2 linked regions of the Arabidopsis thaliana genome follow. The protein of the gene in region 2 interacts with the protein of the main gene of each other region in a pairwise test. Each region holds a gene or a part of one and is shown on either strand. Other genes may lie near its edges.

The links.
Region 1: the proteins of RHA1 (region 2) and AT4G25400 interact in a two-hybrid assay, tested with the Arabidopsis thaliana proteins (one large-scale study listed by BioGRID).

Annotation. Positions count from the first base shown.
Region 1 is NC_003075.7:12,976,691-12,984,587, forward strand, and holds AT4G25400 (basic helix-loop-helix (bHLH) DNA-binding superfamily protein), read left to right. Parts: upstream 1-4,346; 5' UTR 4,347-4,535; coding exon 4,536-4,706; intron 4,707-4,897; coding exon 4,898-5,290; 3' UTR 5,291-5,546; downstream 5,547-7,897. Other genes in the region: AT4G25390 (Protein kinase superfamily protein), read left to right, coding at 801-2,756.
Region 2 is NC_003076.8:18,537,181-18,546,091, forward strand, and holds RHA1 (winged-helix DNA-binding transcription factor family protein), read left to right. Parts: upstream 1-3,484; 5' UTR 3,485-3,916; exon of another isoform or gene 3,917-4,322; 5' UTR 4,323-4,395; coding exon 4,396-4,611; exon of another isoform or gene 4,612-4,704; coding exon 4,705-5,526; 3' UTR 5,527-5,683; downstream 5,684-8,911. Other genes in the region: AT5G45700 (Haloacid dehalogenase-like hydrolase (HAD) superfamily protein), read left to right, coding at 198-1,016; AT5G45720 (AAA-type ATPase family protein), read right to left, coding at 6,158-6,259, 6,349-6,412, 6,491-6,902, 6,975-7,352, 7,436-7,655, 7,725-8,911. UniProt on the Arabidopsis thaliana protein: Transcriptional activator that specifically binds DNA sequence 5'-AGAAnnTTCT-3' known as heat shock promoter elements (HSE). May be involved in general response to auxin.

The DNA.
Region 1 (7,897 bases), on a different chromosome or scaffold from region 2:
CCAATAAAGAAAAACGTTGACTAATGTAAGAAAAAAAAGACAAACCAAATAAATAACTAATCCAACTTGATGATAATTTAGACAACAGCAGCTTCCTGGTAGTTTCTAAAACGTCGGTTCGTTTTCTAAATACAGAAAAGAGTTGCGTGCCGTTTTCACTATCTTAAGGAGTAATTAATTAGTTTCAAGTAAAATACCAAATTAGACAATTCCACATGGTGATCTTTGATGGCCTCCCCACCACCGCACGTGAATTTGGAATACCTTGTTTAGTTTCATTATCAAATTACACCTAAACGCGTTACTAATTAAATTATTTATTGTCTATCAAAAAGCCACGCAACAACAGTCTAGCATTTAAATCTTCACGTGGGTCTAACCCGGTTCCGGTTTCATTATCCGGGTATATGTTTTGGCTTCGTCTGAATTTGAATTTGAGTTTTCTCATTCAAAAAACGATAAATAAATAAAATATTGGTCAGTTATTCTTTCTATGGTTCTTGTTTGATATAGAAAGAATAACAGGTTTTGGATTTGTCTGTGTGTTTGGACTTTGGATTAGTATTCATTCGGTTTAACCAATCAAAATTCGCAACCTTAACACGTTATAAACCATGATGTAATGATTTAATCAATGATCAATTAAATGTATAGAAATTTATTTTCCATTTCCGCAACAGCTCAAAACGTTTTCTCTCTTTTCCGATTTTAGTCTAAAAACTGAAACAAACACAAAAAGCAACAATTTGTCTTTGAAAATCTCCTCTGTGTATGGTTCAGCTTCGGTTTACTAAATCTCTATGCCGTCACGATCAATCTCGGCACCGGTTCCGGTTCTTGCTCCGGCTCCGATCGTTTCCTCTTTAGTCCCAGCAGCGCCGTCAGGACATCAGAATAAGACAACGCGAATCTTTCCACCGTTCGTGGTGGCTGGAGCCGGCGCCGGTTTCTCTCTTTTCATCACTCTCTCCGTCTGTTTCTGTAAATTCAGCCGGAAACGTTCATCACCTCCGGCGGAAAACGCTTCCTCTTCGCCTCGGAGACCGTCGCCACGTGAGTTTTCATATTCGTCTCTCCGTCGCGCCACCGGTTCTTTCTCGCAGGCGAATAGACTAGGTCAGGGCGGATTTGGCGTCGTGTTTCGTGGAACTATCTCCGGCGGCGAGAATGTAGCTGTTAAAGTAATGGATTCAGGATCTCTTCAAGGAGAAGGTGAGTTTCAGAACGAGTTGTTCTTCGCCGCCAAGCTTGACTCGCCTCACGTTGTCCCTGTTATTGGTTTCTCTCATGATCGAAAACGACGACGTTTGCTTCTTGTTTACAAGCTTATGGACAATGGTAATCTCCAAGACGCCTTGCTTCACCGGAGATGCCCTGAGCTTATGGATTGGAATCGGAGGTTTTTGGTTGCCGTTAACATTGCCGATGGGATTAAGCATCTTCATAGTCTTGAACCACCTGTGATTCATGGTGATATTAAGCCTAGCAATGTTCTATTAGATAGTCTCTTCTCTGCCAAAATCGCTGATTTTGGTTTGGCTAGGTTGAAAGCAGAGCAAGTGGAGATTAGTGTAGCTCCGGAGCGTGATGGTGATGGATCTATGGTTGAAGAAGTAGAGAGTGTGGTAACTACTGTGACTGGTTATGAAGATTTTAACTTTGGGTTGGTTGATCAGTCTCCGGAGAGTGTTGCTAAGGTTCCTGGGTCTGTGAGTGCTTCTCCTGAGGCGACGACGGTTGTCTCTGTTTCTCCGGAAATGGGAGAGAAAACGGATGAGGATGGTGGTAGTGTTGTGGTGATGAAGAAGGGGAAAGAGAGTGAGAGCAAAGATTGGTGGTGGAAGCAGGAGAGCAATGTTGAAAGAGGGAGAGTGAAAGAGTATGTAATGCAATGGATTGGTTCAGAGGTAAAGAAGGAGAGACCAAGCAGAAGTGATTGGATTGAGGCGGCAGCTTTGTCTTCTTCGTCAAGTAAGAAACTTGAGAAGAAGACTAGCAAGAGACTAGATTGGTGGTTGTCATTGGAGGAAGAGGATGAGAATAAGAAGAAGAAGAAGCGGAGGATGGTTAGAGAGTGGTGGAAAGATGAGTATCGTAGAGAACTCGCTAAGAAAAGGAAGAAGAAGAAGAAGATGACTTTAGAAGCCGAGTTTTGTAGTGATGATGGGAGTAGTAGTGTGAGTCAATGGCGGCGTGGTAGTGGTAGTGGTAGCAGCATAGATTGGTGGTTAGATGGGTTAAGTGGTGAACGATGGTTGAGAGCAAGGGGAAATAGCCATGACTCGGTGAGCGGTGAGATAGCTAAGAGCTGCGGAATTAGTAGCACGCCGAGCATGAGAGGGACTGTGTGCTATGCAGCTCCTGAGTACTGTAACTTGGACAACAACGTGTCAGAGAAATGTGATGTCTATAGCTACGGTGTTCTGTTGTTAGTTCTGATTTCCGGGAGGCGCCCGTTGGAGATGACGGGCTCCGCGAGTGAGATACAACGGGCAAACCTCATGTCTTGGGCGAGGAAGTTGGCGAGAAGAGGAAAACTTGTTGATCTTGTGGATCAAAAGTTGCAAAACTTAGACCAAGAACAAGCAGTGTTGTGCATAAAGGTGGCTTTGTTGTGTCTGCAAAGATTACCGATTTCACGACCGTCAATGAAAGAGGTCTTGGGAATGCTTAAAGGAGAAGTGAATCTACCAGAGTTGCCTAGTGAGTTCTCACCATCGCCACCATTAAAGACAACGAGGAAGCAGCGCCGTTGACTAATTTAGGAATCATTTTGATTATTATTATTCAAGTGTTACACCGCTAGTTTTAGGAACTTTGATTCAATTTCACTATACTTTCCAATTTCTCTTTCTATAGTTTCACACGCATTATTGACATTGATTTTTTTTTTACACGTTTATACTTCGATGTCAATATGTCATACAACACTTCTTCAAATCGGAGTTGCTCGGGATTGGATTATTAGCAGAAAGAAAAGGCTAAAACTTTTTCCACCTCCAAAAGTCATTTAAAGGTCACACAAATCCTATGGGCCTAATCAGTTAACAAACCACTTCCAATCGAGTTAAATGAAATGAAGATACCAAATTGGGTCACGTTAGGAGTCAGCAGTTTGTGTTCTTTATATATGGACATGGGCCATCTTCGATTTTTCTTATTCGTTTCTACTTAAAATCACCAAGATTTATTGAATTTTTCTTCTTATTATTATTTGGCCCTTATATAGAGTATGGTCTATCCATAATTTGGCCCAGTTTTTTAAAAATACTAGATATTTGGAACATGCATGCTTTTTATTTTTAAATGTATCAGATTCAGATGAAACTCAATTATTAAAAAAAAAATCATACATAAACAGTTTAAAATATTTACTACTACTTAATTATTTTCGGATTAAGAAATCCCTTATAACATTTCATAAAACATAGTATTCTGCATTTTTTCAAAAAGTTGTTGTAATGTTTAGAAAACAAATTGAAAATGCAACAGTTTTTAATGAATAAATGCAAGGCGTTATAGAATGTTGGTTTGTTTTTCATTTTAAGTGTTTTTCAATATTTTAAATAATAACAACAACAAAAATCATTTGCTTTCGACTAGAAACAATGACTTATATCATTGCTTATACGAGTGCATGTTACAATCGTATGTGGCGGTTAGTCATCCTACTTGGCTCGATCGATGGTGTATTTGCTGAGGAAAGGGCTTTGTGTTCTGATTAAATTTGAGTTTTGATGGTAGTATGGCTTGAGTAAAGGTTGAGGATGTTGTTTCATTTTCATATGTCTGGCTCTTTCACCTCTTTGGTGGGTATGTGTTGTATCAAACAATCGTCTCTTAATACAATACCAGTTGACAAAAAAAGAGCAGTAACTAATTCTTATAAACTATAGTACATTATTTCCTATATATTTTATAACATAAAATAAATCATATTTTCTCATAATTTAAAGTGCTATTCAATGATTTTTAGGAATACGATCCAGCATATGGCCTTGCAGTCTATAGTATATATAAAAATAATTATATGGTACCTATGTCAGAGATATCTAGGATATATAGTAGATCGTCGTACAATTGATATATCATATAGTATGTGTATACAATAAGAAAATAAACATATAAATTGTACGATCTCTAAAGAATACTTTAAAAATGATAAATATTAAGATATGGAATGTTGAAGGGAACCTATTAAAAAGAGAAGAAATTAATGATGAAGCAGAAAGACGTCATTGCTTACCCTAACAAACCTCTCTCTCCATCTTTTTCCGATACGTCTACCAATAACTTAGTATTTTTTTCTCTTAGTTTTTAATATTATAACCAAACCCTTTTACTATCTTTTTTCCGACTCCCATATCTTTTTTTTTTCCGACTCCCATATTATTCAACTTTACAACAAATCCCTGACTAGAGCAAATCCCAGAGCACAAGATCAGATCCTTCTGTCTCATCATCATCATCATTATTATAATCATAATTACAAGAAGAATCGTTGTTCAAAATAATTAACGTATAACGACTTCTAGATGAATAATTTTCAGGAGAAGAAAAGAAGGCGTAGTAAAACGCCGAGAGTTTGTAATAACGAAGAAAACATGGAGAAGTTAGTACATAAAGAAATTGAGAAACGAAGGAGACAAGAAATGGCTTCTCTCTACGCGTCTCTCCGCTCTCTTCTCCCTTTAGAGTTCATCCAGGTCAAAACCCTAATTACTCTTGCTTTTAATTTCTTCCTCTTCTTCTTCTTTTTTTTTTGTTAAGGAAAAAGTCCACAAGTATGCTTTGTCGCTTAGTTTGTTAAAAAGATTCACTAGAACTCTAACACTCTATCATCACAATATCTCAAGTTGACCTCTACACCTTAATTACGTTTGATTTGGTTTTGTAGGGAAAACGTTCAACGTCAGATCAGGTGAAAGGGGCAGTGAATTACATAGACTATTTGCAAAGGAATATCAAAGACATAAATTCCAAGAGAGATGACCTCGTGTTATTGTCTGGACGAAGCTTTAGGAGTAGTAATGAACAAGAATGGAATGAGATTTCGAATCATGTCGTGATTCGTCCGTGTTTGGTCGGCATAGAGATAGTGTTGAGCATTCTCCAAACGCCATTCTCAAGCGTTCTGCAAGTGCTTCGTGAACACGGTCTCTATGTTCTTGGCTACATCTGTTCCAGTGTAAATGATAGACTCATTCATACTCTACAGGCTGAGGTACAATATCTCGAGCTTACTAACTTTACAGCAATCGAAGCATTACTAACTTTACTAAGAATATAGAGAAATACTTAATCATAACATATATTTCTAACTAACTTTACTAAGAATATAGAGAAATACTTAATCATAACATATATTTCTAACTTTGTTAATGTTTTCGATCTTGTCGGCTTACAAACGCGTTTATGTCCTAATTTGGAATGGAATATAGAATATAGCATACATCTTCTTCATAGCTTTTTGGAATGGCTTATTGTATCAGAGTAATGAATATATATGTTTGAGTTAATATGTGAAGTTGATTTGCCTTATGTTGAGTTAATATGTGAAGTTGATTTGCCTTATGTTGCAGGTCAACGATCTGGCTTTGATCGACTTAGCAGACCTTAAGGATACACTTACCCTGATGAAGTAATTCAAATAATCAAACGTTTTTTTTCAGTAGATTCCTTTTAACTTCTCAAACCAAAACGATGTATATATATGGTTCTTAGTACTTTTACTGTGTATTTATCTAGCTACTTTAAAGAATTTGTGCGTAAGAAACTAATGCTAGCTAGCTTTAATATCACAACCATCTCTTACATATTATATAAACTATGGTCCATCTAAACTTTTTCTTTATCATTGATGTTTTGACTATCTTGTTTATTCACAGAAAAAAATCTTCATTTTGAAAATTTGATTAAATATCTTATGAAAACAAATTATCTTTCAAGAAAATATATTAGTTTACTCTATCTTTTGTTCATTAGGGACAATGACTATTATTTTGAGGATTACCGCATGAGGCCTTCTTATTTCTAGACGTCTCTGCTCCTATATATAAGTCATATAACATTCTTATCTGAAGATGTACGTAATCTGTCGAGTTAGGATATAATTAAGAGAATGGTGGAATTTAATTCGTACACATAGAATTAATGGTATAATTAATTTACTATTGTTGGTGTGAGTAGCATCAAATAGATGATAGAATAGTATTTTGAACAAAAATTCTGATAGATAGTATAAGCCTTCAAACTAAAATTGTTTCCGGACGAATACACGAAAAGAAAAATGAAATAATATTAACTTTCTAAAAACTCATCGATTGATGGGTATACACAAAATGGTTAAAAAGAAAAAAAAATGATTAACAGATTTTGAGATTATATAATACTGAAAATTTGAGTCGGAAATTGATTTGCAATATGCAAAAGACAAGAAACATGAGGCAAAGGAAAAACCATTTTTCAGAGAAATCTAAACATGTGAAATTCGTTTTTCTAAAAGTAACAATTTGCGAATTTATCAGCGACGGATATTTTTTAAAAATAATATGTAATGTTTCTGTTAGAAAGTACTTTTGGTTGACAAAAAGAACTGTTACAAACTTACTTTGTTGTGTACGCACTGTTACAAAATTATCAAATTTGAATCTTGAAAATGGTTAATTAGGGTTGTGTGATACGCACTCCAGATCTGTAATCACAAATTAGCTAATGACTATAAAGTCGATGCAAAAAGTAAAACATAGGGAATGTATATTATATGCCGCTTAGTTGAAAACCGCTACATATCTATGATCGATTTAAATATTTGAACTCTGGAACTGTTGACTTTTCTCTTAGACTTAAATTTTGGTAAACAATTTCAGCAACTAAAATGAGTGAGAAAACTTGGTTGTTGAAAAAAAAAGAGAGAGTGAGAAAACTTTGGTTTAGTTTTCTACAGTGACCAGCTTTGGGGTTTTGGGCGGAATTAATTAGCCAAGTAGGGTCTAGAAAATGTGATCTTTTAACACATGGCCAAAGTCGTTTATATTTGGTGATTCTGTTTAAAACTCACAATTTGTTTTTTTCTTTTCTTAAATTTTGAAATCATATCTATTTAGAACTAAAGTTCATCATAAATTTTGATGACCCTAATAAATAATATAGCGTCAATATAGAGAACTTAGCTGGAGATATATTGTAAATATGTTGTTGTAACGATCTATTACGAATAACTATTGAAATACAATACAATTATTTAAAAGAGCAATATATAATTGTATAATTTACCACATCATTAGGATACTTCGCCCCAAACACATATTTTAATTCGTTTGAACGAACTTAAATAAAAAAAATAAAAAAAATCATTGGTTAAAACTTTTTATTGCAGAAATAATTGGTTGTTACTGTAGAAATAGCGGCTTCTATTCGCAACCGTCAGATATACAAGTCTAAAGAGATGTCTTTAGTTTAGTCGTGACTCCTACAAGGCATGTGTGTACGATCGCCTGATAGGGAATAATTTAACTTTGCATAATCCATATTTTCCGACAATCATCGAGTTGACATGATTCGACATTTGGTCATACACGTAAATATAACAACGTGCTTCTAATTTTAATTTTATAAGATTAAAACTATCAGATAGTACTTTTTGGGATATAGGAAAAATGCATCTCATGTAATAAAACTATAGCAGAAACGTGTCTTAAAAATAATTTACATAATAAATAGTTAACTTGTTTTATCATGACTATAATATGCAAACATTATTGCGGTTGTACGCATGTAATAATATTACTGTATATAAACTGTTATATACCAGCTCTTATAACTTTAAAACTCTATCCATTTTCTTAACGTAATGTATAGTATAAGTGAATGAAATTTTTCTCTTTTTACAAATTTA
Region 2 (8,911 bases):
AATAATACAACGTAAACTCCGTGTAGGTCCAAACTTTAAAAAAAAAAAAAAACTGCTTCCGAATCAAGCTTTGCTTCGGATTCCGAACCTAAAATAAACACATGACCGTTACACCGATCCTAATTTAAATACAACATCATCACTCTCCTCTCTCTCCCAAAAATCTCGCAAACTCTAATCTCTCTCTTTCTTCTTCAATGGCGACGAAACTCATACTCAAGAAAACGACAAAATCCATCAGCCGTCACCAACGTAACTACCTCCGCCGTCACCGGAAATCTCAGATCGGATGCTCACCGTCTCCGGCCACAACCACCGTAATCGCCACCATCAACAAATCGATCTACAGATGTCATCGAACTTTTCTCTGTTTGTTTTCTCGTCACGCAACAAAAGGATTCAAAATCCTCAAACCTCGCGAAGATTTTCAGAATTCTCCGTATTCATTGTTTCACGAAAGATCTGGTAAATCATTCGACGAGACGAAGAAGACGATCGTGTTAGATCTAGACGAAACTCTTGTTCATTCATCAATGGAGAAACCAGAAGTACCGTATGATTTCGTCGTGAATCCCAAAATCGACGGTCAGATCTTAACGTTTTTCGTGATCAAACGGCCAGGAGTCGACGAGTTTTTGAAGAAGATCGGAGAAAAGTACCAGATCGTTGTTTTCACGGCGGGATTGAGAGAGTACGCGTCGTTAGTGCTCGATAAATTGGATCCAGAGCGGCGCGTGATATCGCGTAGCTTTTACAGAGACGCGTGTAGCGAAATTGATGGGAGGTTAGTGAAGGATTTAGGGTTTGTGATGAGAGATTTGAGGCGCGTGGTGATTGTTGATGATAATCCGAACTCGTACGCGCTTCAACCGGAGAATGCGTTTCCGATTAAACCGTTTTCTGATGATTTGGAAGATGTTGAGTTGAAGAAACTTGGTGAGTTTTTGTATGGTGATTGTGTCAAGTTTGAAGATATGAGAGTTGCTTTGAAGGAGTTTGTTGGAAGAGATGAATGATTTTTGGTTAATTTCGGTTTAGTTGATTTTACTTGTATTAAGAGGATTTGATTAAGTAGACAATGATGAACAATAGCTTTGTTTGTTCGATCTGTCTTTGTGTAAAACATCCTCGTGATAAGCAATTTGTTAATTTGTTTGATTAGTGTTTTTCTTTGTGATTGAATCAATGGGTTTTTAATGAAGATTTTGAATTTGAACAGTGGACTGAGTTTGACAAGATCGAGAACTTTTTGTGTGGGTAGAGTTAAATTATGGGCCTTTATTGGGCTTTTTGTTCAATGGTGTGTTTACATATCAAAACTTTTAAGTTGTTTTTGTTTACTAATAAGCCATATTATGAAACAGTAGTTTTGAATAATTACAAAGAAAACAAAAAAAGATCAATCAATATATTTTAAATATTTTTTTGGATCACTTTAGAAGCGGAATGTCAAAGCTTTATCATTGCAATACAAAAGTTATGGATAAGAGGTTACATGAAATTGACTTTTGAAGGAGACTGCAAAAATCTAGTCAATAGCTTGAATGGAGGCAGCTCAAGATTTGATTTGGTTAACTGGACCTATGAAAGAAGAGCATGGGAGAGAATATTTGAGCAATTGACAATTGGACACTAGGAGCAACAAATCAAACCTGCAGACATTTTAGCGAAGAAACAACAAACAGAAGTTTCAGACTTCATATCTCATTTTCATATTCCTTCTTGTATATCCAATGAGTTGCACTCAGATTACATTGATCCAAGTTAATGAAAGTTGATTTTTTTTTTTAAACTACAGTAAATTCTCTAGAAATTCCATTAATATATAATTACTAAATTATGGAGAGATTTTACTAATTTTTTTAATTTCTTACAAAATTATATCTGAAAGCAGGTTTCAATATAATCAATATTTTTCTAAAACCAATTATAAAAAGAAAATTAATTATGAAGTTTAGAAAACAATACAAACTTTTTGATATAGTAAAAATTTTAAAAATGAATTGTACCAAAAAATAATCCAAATATAAGAAAAATGAACAACATTAGAGTCATAATTTCATTAAAATATTTTATATATAATTATAGTAATCTATATATGACATATATATATAAATAAATTACTATCATATATATATATATTGATAAGTTTATACAATTATTAATTTATGATAAATGATAAGGCTATATTTTAACATAACATTTTCAAAAATTTATTATCTTATTGTTTTATCGATTTGTGTCAATTCTACATTGGTTCCAACTTGCATCGGAAGAATTTTTTAATTTATATAGATTATTAATTTATCGAGTATTAATTTATAGAAATTTTACTATACCATGATTTGAGGACAACAATGTTTATTTTTAATATCCATTTAAAGTTTTAATTATTATAATACTTGGCTTTTGGGACATATTCTTAGAGATCTTTAAGATATGTATATTGTAAAATCTTAACATATGTTGAAAGCTCAATTATATAATATTACTATATGTCAAATTATTTTGAGACTACATAATGCATATCTAATAATTGTGTTTACAATAATCCTATATAAATAGAGGTTGATGAGCAAGCGACTAAGTTGCAATCACATTTCGTTTGGATCATCTATCACCAACTTTCAAACTTTCAATTTTTTTTATAGTTTCCTAGTTTTTGGAAAAATGGTTTTACTTTTTGTAAGAAACTTGTACAACAAAACATAAATATAACTACACATATTAGACGAAGTTATTGCGTATATTAAAAATTTATAAAAGACTTGATTGGATTTTATTGTTTGCAGAAAGAGGAGCTTCAATTTAAGGTTGGATCTATTGACGAAGGGACTAGATATGACGCATTACGATGTATCGCTAATTGTGAAGGTACACCAACTCAACCAAATATGTAGTTGTATTGAGCTAAAATAAACCATTCGTTAGAGATATAGGGATTTTATGTAGATCATTTTATTAGGCTTAATATTTTAGTCATTTACTTATTTGGTAAATAACAAGAATATACATTCATTCATTGTTGATTGAAAAAACTTGGACATGATAAATTGGTATGTGACTTCCAATATTTTATAATGTATATTTTGTAGATGGATGGATAGAATAATAACCAACACATTAAAATGGCAATATATAACACATTTTCACTAAAAATGTTTTGCCATAAACTGCAAGTTCTCTAAATTAAACAATGTTTACAAATGTTTTTATTTTGTTTTGTTTTGTTAGGAGTTGCTTTTGTTGATTTTGATGAGGAAGAGGCCACAATAATTGTGAAGAGAGAAAAACTCGATGAATGTAAAATTAAGAAAAAATTAGATAAATTTTTGAATGAATCTAAAGGAGGATGTTTCTCTTGTTTTAGTCGCTAATAATTTTTGGAGAAGAAGTGAAGTGAACTGGTAATGGAAATCAACTTTCAAAATAAAATGAAGTTAAAAGAAATTACAAATAGATTCTCATTTGTATTTCTCCCTATTATAATCTACAACATCATATTTTTCTTAATTTGATCAATCTTCATAAGTCAAAATGATCAACAACATTACAAATTTATTATGTTTTTTTTGGGTCAAATTATATGAAATTATATTTGGTAAATTAAAAAGAAAAGAAAAAGAGAGTTGATTGATAATAATAAACCACCAAACCCGTCTTTTAGACACAACAGTTGTTGTTGCCATTCATACGCGCTTCCATCAACCCTTTGGTCTTGGAAGCCAAATCAAACCTTTCCTTCAATCCTCAAATTTTCGAAAATTTTCTCTTTTGCTTTACGTTCTCTCAATTCTTATTTGTAAGAAAGTTTGTTCCTTTAATCAATCAAATCAAAGAGACTTTTGAAGATTGTTTCCCAATTTGCGTCAATCGGGATCGAGTCAAATCTGAAATCTTCTCCACTCATCATCTGGTACGTTTGATGATTCCAAATCAGAAACATTAAAGGACAAGAAATGTTCGAATTTTTGATTGATTCTCTCTGATTTTCAATCATTTGGTTGTAGAAGCAAAAGGGTTTGGTTCATTCATTCTCTCGTGTTGCCCTTATTTCGGATTCGGATAGATTTGGAGCTAAATTAGGGGTTTTGACTTTTTTAGTTTCTCCCATTCAATAAATTTCGAAGCTTGTGAGGGAAAAGTCTTGGTTTTTATTGTCATTTATTACTTTGCTTCTTAAAGCTTGAGAGATCGATTCGTATATTGATTCAAACACTTGACAGTTGTGTCTTAAACTGGAATTGTTGCAATTAAATGTTTATGTTTTCAATGAGTCTCTCTAGTTGAGTTTGATTTCAGCTTCTTGTTCTATCCAACAGACTATAAGACTTAATCAAGGGACTTTTTGTTCGGGTTTGGTTTTAAACGTCTTGGATTCGAAGTGGTTAAGGTATGGATGAAAATAATGGAGGTTCAAGCTCACTTCCACCTTTCCTTACTAAAACATATGAAATGGTTGATGATTCTTCTTCTGACTCGGTCGTTGCTTGGAGCGAAAACAACAAAAGCTTCATCGTCAAGAATCCAGCAGAGTTTTCAAGAGACCTTCTTCCGAGATTCTTCAAGCATAAGAATTTCTCAAGTTTCATCCGTCAGCTTAATACATATGTAAAGCTTTTGTCTTTGTATCTCATCTCTTTGGGGATTGGTGTTTGCTGCATCGCTAAGATTAACAACCTTTTTGTGTTTTTGTTTGCGTAGGGTTTTCGAAAAGTAGATCCTGAGAAATGGGAATTCTTGAATGATGATTTTGTTAGAGGTCGACCTTACCTTATGAAGAACATTCATAGACGAAAACCGGTTCATAGCCACTCGTTAGTGAATCTACAAGCGCAAAATCCTTTGACGGAATCAGAAAGACGGAGCATGGAGGATCAGATAGAAAGACTGAAAAATGAGAAAGAAGGCCTTCTTGCGGAGTTACAGAACCAAGAGCAAGAACGGAAAGAGTTTGAGCTGCAAGTAACGACATTGAAAGATCGGTTACAACATATGGAACAACATCAGAAATCAATAGTGGCATATGTTTCACAGGTTTTGGGAAAACCAGGACTTTCACTAAACCTCGAAAACCATGAGAGAAGAAAAAGAAGATTTCAAGAGAACTCTCTTCCTCCAAGCAGTTCACACATAGAACAGGTCGAAAAGTTAGAATCTTCGCTAACGTTTTGGGAGAATCTTGTATCGGAATCATGCGAGAAGAGCGGTTTGCAGTCATCAAGCATGGATCATGATGCAGCTGAGTCAAGTCTAAGTATTGGCGATACACGACCCAAATCATCGAAGATTGATATGAACTCAGAGCCGCCCGTTACCGTTACTGCGCCTGCTCCAAAAACAGGCGTTAACGATGACTTTTGGGAACAATGTTTGACAGAGAACCCTGGATCAACCGAGCAACAAGAAGTTCAGTCAGAGAGAAGAGATGTCGGTAATGATAATAATGGTAATAAGATTGGAAATCAAAGGACGTATTGGTGGAATTCAGGGAATGTAAATAACATTACAGAGAAAGCTTCTTGACATGAATGAGGTTTTTGTAAAATAGTTTTCTTTTGGTTCCACTGAGATTATTGTATGTGTTCATTATTTATTACTCTGTTTCTGTAAAAACAAATCTCTCTATTGTTTGAGGCAGGAGTGACATAAATGCATATGCAGAATTGGTTTCTTTGCCTTCATATTTCAGTTATATAATTTACAGAGTCAGTTTTGTTTGTAGCAAACATATGAACAAAGAGAGAGTTACAGAGTTTAGGAAAAGAAACAACAAAATTCTAAAAAGAATTAAAAAAGCTCCGATGCCGGGAATCGAACCCGGGTCTCCTGGGTGAAAGCCAGATATCCTAACCGCTGGACGACATCGGATTTGATGTTCATAGAACTCTTATTAACTATATACTCAATGATGGACCAAACAAACCAACGAAGGAGATCAATGAAACAATTGGTTTTGAGTTATCTGACAACTATTTCATCAAAAATAATACAAAATGCAAGAAATTTTGTCATGCCCTAATAAAAAATAAAAACTCATAATTATTTAGCTAAATAAAGATTTCTTGATCAAAGATTCAAGAAAATTTCTATAGCTACAAAGATTACATTATGATCTAAGAAAAGAAGTAAAGCAAAATAAGAAGAAGAAACAAAACTATCTAGGAGGAGATCTCGTTGATAGACATTTCCCACAAGAGACAAGCTTCAACAACGAATGTAATCGTAACTTCCTTGTTCTCACCTTCAATCTCGATAGCTACAATTTCAAAGTTTCAATTTTTCAATCACAAAGACAACAAACAGAGTCATATATATAAAGAATAGAGAGAAATTGAATGTGTTTACCTTGCGACGAGTGCTTCTTGATGCTTTCCAACATATCAAGCTTCTTGATCTTGGTTCAAGTTTCCTGCAAAAACCAACGAATTATCAAACAAAACTGTAAAAAAAAATTTTAGGAACAAGTTTTGGTTAATCTTGTTCTTACAAATTCTCTTGTTCAAGCTTATTTGCAATCTCCACAGCTTTGTGTTTCGACCAACTGTTTCCTTCAGCTTGTTTAATCACTTGAGCCAACGAAACTTTTCCTCTCACAATGCTCTGGTTCTGATTTTGGTTTTGGTTTTGACTTGCTTCCAAGTGTTTCCTTCTAACTCGAGTCATTGGAGATTCAGAGTCAGCCACTTCAACGATTTCGCTTCTTCCGCTTTCACGGAATCTCTCACCGTTGCTTAAACCTTGTAATGACGAGAAACCGAGGTCTTTCTTCGACTCGGTTCTCATCTCTAACGTGACTGGAGATCCAAGAACAGCCTCAAACGCTTTCAAAATGTGTTCTTCGAAATTCTCAGCCGTTGATTTCGCTATTGGCGAATTAAACATTAACTGCACCATAGGAGCTGCGAAAACTACGAAGTTAGAAAAGCTTTGTTTTCAATATGAACAATGTTCTACTACGTTTATGCATTTACCTGAGCCGATACTAATCGAAAAGATCTTCCCTTCTTTATAAAGAAACTCTCGTAAGCCGTTAACTCGAACATTCTCGATAACCGCTAACCAAATATCTTCAACGGAAGGTCGGTTTTTGCAGCTGAAACCTTGCTTACTATCATCTCTTCTTGTTCCGGCTACAACATGGTTCGAAGGATCCGAATCCGTCAATGGAGTATGGTTAAAGCTAGCATCAGCAGAAGAACTATGCGGAAGCAAGTACTGTTTATCAGGAGCTAGCTGTAGCAATGCAGCAGTGAGCCAAGTTAGTTTATCGTTCGATACTCTCAACTGTTTTTCTGATTCAGATAGTGTTTTCAAAGCTTGTTTCAGCTTCTCCATATCTTCTTTAGACACTGGAACAACGGAAAAGAAAAATCGGTTATTACAGTTACAAATACTTCTCATTTTGGATGATGGAAATGTTTGAAAAGCTCACGTGGTTGTCGCCGGAAAAACTTTCTTTTACATTGATCTTTAGTGAAGTCATAGCTTCCCGCGAGGATATCGGTTATGACGGTTGCGAGCTGTGACATCAAAGCTAATGGTTCTAGGCCGGTTTCCATTATTATTCTTAGGTTCTTTACGGTGTTTACAGTATCCGCGGATAAGGCTAGATCAAGAAGATCAACTAATTTCTCATCAGATATTAACCCAACCTGAAAAGAAAACAAGAACATAATGAGAACAATGCCAATGGAAAATATAGAAATGTTTTTGATCATTACCATTTCTTGAACTAAAGGAACAGAGATTCTTGTTCCAAGCAAACTCAGCTGTTCTAGAGTCATTTCCGCGTCTCTCAAGGAACCATCTGATCTCGAAGCAACAAGCTTCAACGCATCTTTATCGATATCAATCTCTTCTTTTGATGCAATAAGTTGCAAAGAATCGATGATATCTACGTCTTTGAGCTTAGGGAAAAAGAATTTCTGGCACCTCGAAACGATAATGTGAGGCAAAACATCAAGACTCGAACATACAAGAACGAAAACCACACGACGAGGTGCTCGGTCCACTATTTTCGATAGCGTATTCCAACAATCTGTTGACATAGTATCGCAATCATCGAATATTAACACAAGCTGCTGCTTTTGCTGCTGACGAATGTTCGTTTTATCGAGCAAATTCTCAAAGTCGAAACTTTTTACAGGACCCATTTCTCGAATGTACCGGTTCTTACCATCATCATAAGAAACACAAGAACTGCATACACCGCAAGGCTTTGATTGTTCCGTAGAATGGCAGTTCAAAGCTCTAGCAAATACCCGAGCACAAGATGTTTTTCCGGTTCCATTTGGACCGTGGAATACGTAAAGAAGTCCAACTCTTCGTTTAGCTATAGCGTTAGACAGAGCCTGCACCACAAGATTCTGTCCCAAAAGATCCCGGAATGTTCTTGGAGCGTACTTCTGCGTAAAACTTTGATGCCACCGAGTATTTTTACGGCTACTCTTCTTACCAATGACTGAATCTTTTCCATTCTTGAGCAAATTGTCAGCGAATATACCCAACTCGCCTGAGTAATCATGCACCCATTCTTCATTGTCTGCGCTATCGACTAAAAGAGGTAACGCCTCGCGATCAGAAGAGCTTGAATCAGAAAACATCGGCGTACCAGCTTCGCCTTTCCTTCCCTTTGAATCAGATATTCCACAAGATAAACTCCTACCAGCTATATCAAGAAAAGTTTTGCCTCTATGATGAATTCTTGACCAATTAAACGGTATTCCACAACTCATGTTCTGTTCTCTATCTCTTCCTCCTCCTCCTTCTTCTCCCTCATACTTCTCACCACGAGGCACTGAGTTAGAAGCAATAGACATCTCACTCTCATTACCAGCAGCATTGTCTCTAACATTAACGGCCCGTCCCGCTCTCCTCGTCCCTCTAAACTTCCGTCTTCTACACCCAT